Linked DNA regions of Saccharomyces cerevisiae S288C. The protein of the gene in region 1 interacts with the protein of each later gene in a pairwise test. Each region holds a gene or a part of one and is shown on either strand. Other genes may lie near its edges. The genes, in order: POG1 and DMA2.

Evidence for each region.
Region 2: the proteins of POG1 (region 1) and DMA2 interact in a two-hybrid assay, tested with the Saccharomyces cerevisiae proteins (one study listed by BioGRID).

The regions. Positions count from the first base shown.
Region 1 is NC_001141.2:128,734-132,298, forward strand, and holds POG1 (Pog1p), read left to right. Parts: upstream 1-1,876; coding exon 1,877-2,932; downstream 2,933-3,565. Other genes in the region: putative glucosidase SIM1, read left to right, coding at 1-848; QDR2 (cation transporter), read left to right, coding at 3,511-3,565. UniProt on the Saccharomyces cerevisiae protein: Transcriptional activator which promotes cell cycle recovery with CLN2, after pheromone induced G1 arrest, probably inhibiting the ability of STE20 to activate the pheromone response pathway.
Region 2 is NC_001146.8:406,193-410,546, reverse strand, and holds DMA2 (ubiquitin-conjugating protein DMA2), read right to left. Parts: upstream 2,207-4,354; coding exon 638-2,206; downstream 1-637. Other genes in the region: YNL115C (uncharacterized protein), read left to right, coding at 1-428; malate synthase MLS1, read right to left, coding at 2,525-4,189. UniProt on the Saccharomyces cerevisiae protein: E3 ubiquitin-protein ligase which functions in cell cycle retarding in conjunction with the UBC4 and UBC13/MMS2 complex, 2 E2 ubiquitin conjugating enzymes. Involved in nutritional control of the cell cycle.

The DNA.
Region 1 (3,565 bases):
CTTCTTCTTCTTCTTCTGGCAGTGGTAGTATCTACGGTGATTTGGCCGACTTTTCAGGCCCAAGTGAGAAATTCCAAGACGGCACTATTCCATGTGACAAATTCCCATCTGGTCAAGGTGTCATTTCTATTGACTGGATTGGCGAGGGTGGATGGTCCGGTGTGGAAAACACCGACACTTCCACTGGCGGTTCATGCAAGGAGGGGTCCTACTGTTCCTACTCCTGCCAACCAGGTATGTCTAAGACCCAATGGCCATCCGATCAACCATCTGACGGTAGATCTGTCGGGGGTTTGTTGTGTAAAAATGGTTATTTGTACCGTTCTAACACTGACGCGGATTACTTATGTGAATGGGGTGTCGAGGCTGCCTATGTTGTTTCTAAACTAAGCAAGGGTGTCGCCATTTGCAGAACCGACTACCCGGGCACTGAAAACATGGTTATCCCAACCTATGTTGAAGGGGGTAGCTCTTTGCCATTGACCGTTGTTGACCAAGATACTTACTTTACTTGGGAAGGCAAAAAGACATCTGCTCAATACTACGTTAATAACGCCGGCGTCTCAGTTGAAGATGGGTGTATCTGGGGTACTTCTGGATCTGGTATTGGTAACTGGGCACCATTAAACTTTGGTGCTGGCTCCACTGGTGGAGTGACATACTTATCATTGATTCCTAACCCAAACAACAGCGACGCATTGAACTACAACGTCAAGATAGTTGCTGCTGATGATTCATCCAATGTCATCGGTGAATGTGTTTACGAAAATGGTGAGTTCTCTGGCGGTGCTGACGGGTGTACCGTCTCTGTTACTTCCGGTAAAGCTCATTTCGTCTTATACAATTAAGCTACGTGACTACTACTTTTCCTTTTTTTTTTCTTTTTTCGAACACATCTCACCCCCTATACCTCACACAATCACTATGGTCCCCTTTTCTTTTTACCGATATTTATACTGTCCACCTTTTTCTTTTCGTTAATGGCCTCAATGTTTCTGTACCATTATCCAAGTGAACTTGTTAGACGACCAAATATAGCCAAGATTCATTACGATTATCTTTAACTAGCAAGTAGTATTCTTGGATAGAGAGATTTTCAAAGACGGAACAATTTTAAATAGATTTACATAAGAAAACACATACTGTCCGATACCCATAAGAAATTTAAGAACTCTTTTCATCTTCAGCTTTCCGGCCTCCTTTTACTGTAGCCTGTTCCTAGACAGCTAAAAATAGTACATATGCAGCTCTGCAATAGTCTCAAAGGGGATATTGTGTAGGTTTACGAAATCATCACATTTCCGAATCAGGACATGAAGGCACAACTTTCCGCACGTAGTGTTTTCAGCCCCCAGCGCCTGTCGGCGCGAAGAGGATCTGCGGAGATGAGCTTTGCCCCGCCATTACCCGTAAAATATTACTGTTTTGGGCAATTGTGGATCAAAAAGGGAAAATGCGGATGGTGAAAAAAATTTTTGGAAATTTACTGCTTCAGATGGGGGAACTTTGTAAGTTCTTCCTTTTTTTTCGTAGAGGTTGGAAAATTCAGAGTGCTAAGAAATTAAAAGGTATGCACTGCCTATTCTCATAAAAGCAAAAGTGCACAAAAATAATAAGGTGTGAAGCAATAGTAGAAAAGACACTGGGAACCCAAGGTATCTTATTTTAACAGATAAGTAAAACTAAGATCAAATCGCGTACTGATATCACTTAAGGTTCGCGTATTTTAAAGGCTACGCAGAAGAGGAAATAAATTGCGTGCAATCCCTGCGCTTAACTCATACAAAAAGGCGCAAAACATTTCAAGAGTCCCACGATTAATTGCAGAAATTGAAAAAAAATAAGTAAAGACGAAAATCAAAGTGGATGCCATATTATGAAGCAGGAGCCACATAGACAATCCGAAGAAAAAGAGAAGCCGAAAGGACCAATGGCTGTTGAACGAGAGCAGCATACCTCATTATCTTCTGGTACAACCGTGACAGCTAGTACAGGAGACGAGAGTACCAACAGTAGACCAGTGGAATCATCGCAAACAGAAAAGTCTCTATCGCTTCGAATAAGAATATTAAAACAACTTGGGTTTGACGATATTCAAGAACTAAATGCATGCGACACTGGCCTAGTGGAGCAATTTTTAAACGTACGATTGATAAACGACACAAAAGAACTAGAAAAGATACGCGAGTCAAATCTTGCGAAACTAAACCAGATTATTGATAAATGTATGGAAAGTGATAAAATAAGTGATTCGACATTAAACAAGATTCTTGATATGTCCATGAATAGAGATACAAATAATGATAACAACAATCATCTTACGATACCGTCTCCGATAACGACAAAGAAACGCAAGATAAACGCCTCCGAACTTGCAAGTCCACGAGGCCATAGAAGATATAGATCTGATATACCTACAGTGTCAGAAGTTGAGACAGGGGTCGGATACCCTCAAATACACCAGCAACCAGGCGCATATACTTTACCTATGCCTGCAAATCAGTGGATGAGCAACCCGTATATGCAACCTCCGCAACCACAAGTGCAACAGATAATGCCGCAGTATTTATATCCACCAGGGATGGGACCACAAGCTCAGCTTCCTACAATGAGCTCAAACTCGGAGTCCCAGACACCAGTGATGAGCTCACAGTTTCTTTCCTTGAACCAGCATGGCCTTTACCAACAAAATATAGGTGCTCATCCGGTAATGAGTATGGGCCCACAGGCAAATATATACGGGCAGCAGCACCAGCTGCAACCTGGTCAGGAACGAGACCAGTCAAGAAAAAGTTTTAGTCATAGAAGGTCACAAAGTGCCAATATTTCCATGGCAAATTTTAGGTCGCCCATGCGAAATCCCCAGCCGGCTTCGTCCCAAAGGCCCGTCAATTTTCTCATTCATACACCAAAACATCCTCCTCCCACATGACGTGCAGTAATTTTCATTTTTATCACCTAATTTCTAAAACTATATCCCTTCCTAACCTTCATTCGATGCATCCGTCCACCTTACTTCAGTTCAAAAAAAAATATATATCCATATATATGCTACAGTGTTATTATTACGATTTCTTTGCCTTTACTCCTTATCTCATTTCAATCATGAATAAACAGGATATTGATAATATATGCTGTCATTTTGGATTCAGTCTGCTTAACTGTCTTGTCCACCCCCGGTGTTCTTACCCGTCTGAGCGGTCGTAAGACGGAGGTAATAATTTTTCAGCATCCTGACCTCCCCCCCAAATCTGTGCCTTTCACCACATTTTTCTCGAGAAAATGTGTCTTGGCTCAGATGATGTCGTATGAGCTACTGGACTTTTTTTTGTTGGCCCTGATGAAAATAGTAATGGCGGTTACAGAACAGATAAACGGCGTCACCATCTTTTCCTAGATAAAGAAGCAATCTCTAGATAATGGGGTATATAAATATACATTGTAAAAACGGCAAGTCAGTTGCTGGTCATTTTAGTAGAAACTCTGCTCTCAAACTTGAGTACTGCAACGATGGCAGGAGCAACATCAAGTATAATTCGGGAAAATGATTTTGAGGACGAGCTTG
Region 2 (4,354 bases), on another chromosome or scaffold:
AATTTAGATTATGGTGGAAAGGCATTTGGTCGAGTTTAGGATGGAGATTACAGACTTCATGGTTACTAGCTCATCATGGGTCTAAAGAACGTATATATGGGCGTGATATGAAATATCAAGGACGTTTCTTGCGTTCCAAGTTTTTGGAAAGCGTGACGAGTTCAATTCTAAGTTACAGAGATGTGACAAACAATGCAGAATCTTTGCAAAATGTGAAGACAAGCATCGTTAGCTCTAAGGAAATGGTGAAGAAGTCGGCATTATGGGGCGATTGGCAAAGAGATTTGACCAAAATTTCTCACAAGACTCAAGAATGGAAAATAGTTGAAGGTGGGCATGAAATATATAAGTATGGTCTGGGCAAACAACAAACTCAAGAAGTCCTATTAAGATTAATAGGTGAGCTTGGCAAACTAACCGAGGATTAACCGAGTTCTTTACTTTTTTTTTAGTTTTATATGTGAAAGCAAAATTGACTGCCAACGATGGAGGTATTGTATTCCTGAAAACAATAAGTCAAATATGTAAACGGCGCAAATATATAAATACTAAGAGAATAATTAAAATAATATTAAGGTACGAGATGTGGAGTTCGGTGGTTTTTCTTTATTTTTCAAACTGTGTATTTTCTTTGACCTTAAGGATGGCTATCAACATCCTTTGAAGTTTCCATTAAGACGCTAAGTTGATCCACCAGTTGATCACCTTCACTTTCCACATCACTTTCATCTTCCTCGTCACTACTTTCAAAGGAGGCCTCCAAATCACAACTTGATCTACAGTTGGGGCAAACAAATTGCGGATATGAGAGCATGACCAATCTTCTTACACAACGGAAATGCCAGCTATGTGCGCATGGTGATATGAAAATTGCTTGACACGGTTTGATCTTACATAGGCAAATCGAACAATCTTCTTCTTCAATACCTGTAGTTAATTTTTGTAAATTCTGCAAACGCTGTAAAGCTTCTTTGTTGAACGAATTTGCCTTTAGTTTCCATGATCTATTTAGCTCAATCCTCATCCTTACACAACGATAGATTTCTTCCGTGCCACCTCTAAAATCCATTCCTAACTGTAAAATATCACCATCACGAAGAGGGGTATCTTTCGATAAAGAGGAAGCGGGTGAGAGCCTTTGGTGATTTAAGAAAGTTCCACTAGATGATTTCACATCCTTTATATACCAGTTACCTTGAGAGTCAACTTTAAAACAACCATGTGTCCTTGAAACAACTTTGGATTTAAATACAACTGGATGATATTGTTCAGGTATTTTAGAAATTGCATCGCGAACACGCTCAGTATAGCGGCCAATAACCAATTGGGATCCAGGGCCAGCCTTTCTTATAATCGGTTCAAAGAATAAACCTTGATTTGTCGTGGACGAACTATCAATAAATGGGGTTAGTCTTATACTAAAAAGACCATGCTTATCTTTCCTTTGCTTCAAAGTGACCTCATCTACATTGAACATATTGTTTGACTCCTCTGCACTTGTTGCAGGTAAATCCAAATGTAAAATTTCGGTCCCATTTGGCTGGTTTGCAGCATATATCAAGTGACGTAAATTCTTATACATTTCCTGACTGTTGTTAACAATAGTAGATCCATCTGCACCACCGACTATATTTCTCGTTGTAGCCGCTGGCGCCATGGAAATTATCGAGGTTGTGGTATTGTTAGTACCGTTAGGCTGCCGCTGATTCAAAGACTCTTGAACGTTACCAACATTGTTGCCTTCGAAATTATGCGCAGATGATTGCTGGTGGTCTGTGGTTGTAGGGGCAGTGAGAGATATGGAGATGGGGAGTTGATAGTTGCGATGAACGTGGAACTGGGCCGACAGAGGCATTTGTATAGGATGATGCAGACGTGGTTCCTGCTGTTGCGGAGCGGTATCGATACTTTCCATGGCCACACTCATATGTGAGTTAGATGGGGTTGTGCCGAATAGACGCTGATCAGGAGCCGCAGAAGAAGAAGCTGTCTGGCTATTTTGCCTAATTCCGAAGGTATTCAAAAACGAACTGATACCCGACGCCGGACGAGCCCGCTCATTGGATGGAGTACCACTGGCTCTGTTCCTTGGGTTTATGCCACTACTGCTAGTGGTGTTGGCATTTGATGCGGATGAAGAGTTGGACGTCATCGATGAAGTTGGTGCAGTGGGAGCAGGGGTATTAGCAGGGATAGGCGTGTACATTTCCACGGTATATCCTTTGCTGAAAGCTTCAAACGTATACAATGCGTTGCTATACTTTCTCGACTTCTTTTCAAATCAAAATATATGCCCACGTTTGGAGTCATCAAGTATTGTGTTTGAAATTCCACAACAATGGTTGATGCCTTCGCCGTCGACCGTGATACATTAATCTGGCCAAAACAAAAAAAGGAATCATGATAAGATGATTCATTGCTAACTACGAAACGAAGCAATATAAAGATAAGTTTTTGGATTCCGATACATAATCATATAGGCATGAATATATTTTTATATATGTGTACACTGGGGCAAGGGAGATCACAATTTGCTCAAATCAGTGGGCGTCGCCTTAGTGGACACAATTTCGTCGTACAACAATGTAGTCAAAAATTCACTGAATTTCTCGCCTCTGATTTCTGGCAAGAAATACTTAGCGGCCAGCGCGAATTTGTTCTTGTCACCCAATGGACTTGCCTTAGACAGTCTTTCCACTTGTTCTTTTAGAATCTTTTCGGTTAATTCTGGGGTGACCTTTTCTCCCGTGTCCTTTAGAGTAACACCGTGTTTCACCCATTGATACAATTGACAACGAGACACTTCAGCAGTGGCGGCGTCTTCCATCAAGTTGTTGATGGGCACACATCCAGAGCCTCTGAGCCAAGCTTCCATGTACTGCAACCCGATATCCAAGTTTTGTACAATTCCCTCGGTAGTAATCTCACCATTTGGAATTTTGGTTTCCAGCAGATTAGCAGCCGTTACAACGTTTTCAGGAATGAAATAGATTTGGTTTGGTGTTCCCATATTAATGAAAACTTCATTACAAATAGGGGCCAGTGCTGGGTGTGCAACCCATGACCCATCATGTCCATTTGTCAGCTCTCTAATCTTATCATTACGGACTTTAGTCATGGCCTTTTCATTGGCTGCCGGGTCGTCTTTGATAGGGATTTGCGCAGCCATACCACCCATGGCATGAACACCCCTCCGATGACAGGTATTGATTAATCTTTTCACGTATGCATCCATGAATGGGGAAGTCATAGTCACTTGATTTCTATTGGGCAAAATGTGATTAGGATCATTTCTTAATCTCTTGATTGTAGAGAAAATATAGTCCCAACGTCCGCAATTCAACCCACTAGAATGTTGTCTTAATTGATAGATGATCTCTTCCATTTGGAAAGCAGCAGGCAAAGTTTCAATCAACACAGTAGCTCTGATTGTACCCCTTGGGATCCCAATGTAATCTTGAGCTACACAGAAGACGTCGTTCCATAGTTTAGCTTCCAAGTGGTGCTCCATCTTTGGCAAATAGAAGTAAGGACCTTTGCCCAATTTGATTAATTCTTTGGCATTATGGTAGAAATATAAACCAAAATCAAAGATGGAAGCGCTGATTGGTTCATCATCTACATAAAGGTGCTTTTCCACCATGTGCCAACCACGGGGTCTCACGATAATAGTGGGCAAGTTGGCCACATTTCCATTCAATTTGTACGATTTTCTTGGTGTGTCAAAATCGATTTGATTTCTGATCGCGTCGTAGAGATTAACTTGACCGTAAACCATGTTGTTCCAAGTAGGTGAAGCTGAATCTTCAAAATCAGTCATATAGGTGTTCACAGGAGCATTCAAAGCGTTGATCAGCATATTTCTCAATGGAGGCCCTGTGATTTCCGTTGACCTATTAATTAACCCCGGTGCCAAAATTGGACCTTGCCAAGTGGGATCATTTCTAATATTTGCAGTTTCAGGCAGGAAATCCAGATGATAGGAGCCCGAGTCTAATTTCTTCTGAACAACTTGTCTGTTTTCCAATAATTGTTTTCTCTTGTTGTTGAAAGTTCTGTGTAAAAGAACAATGAACTCTAGAGCATCCTTGGTAAGAATATCTCCCACTGTAGTACTAGATGGTTTAAAGAAAGGCTCCTTATCAACATCCACCAGTAATTTGACGTTATCCAAACTGACCTTAACCATTTTCTTAATTCTTTTATGTGCTTTTACTACTTTGTTTAGTTCAAAACAATAGTCGTTATTCTTAGGTACTATAGCATAAGACAAGAAAAGAAAAATAAGGGACAAATAACATTAGCAGAAGTACGGTATATTTTACTGTTACTTATATACTTTCAAGAAGATGAG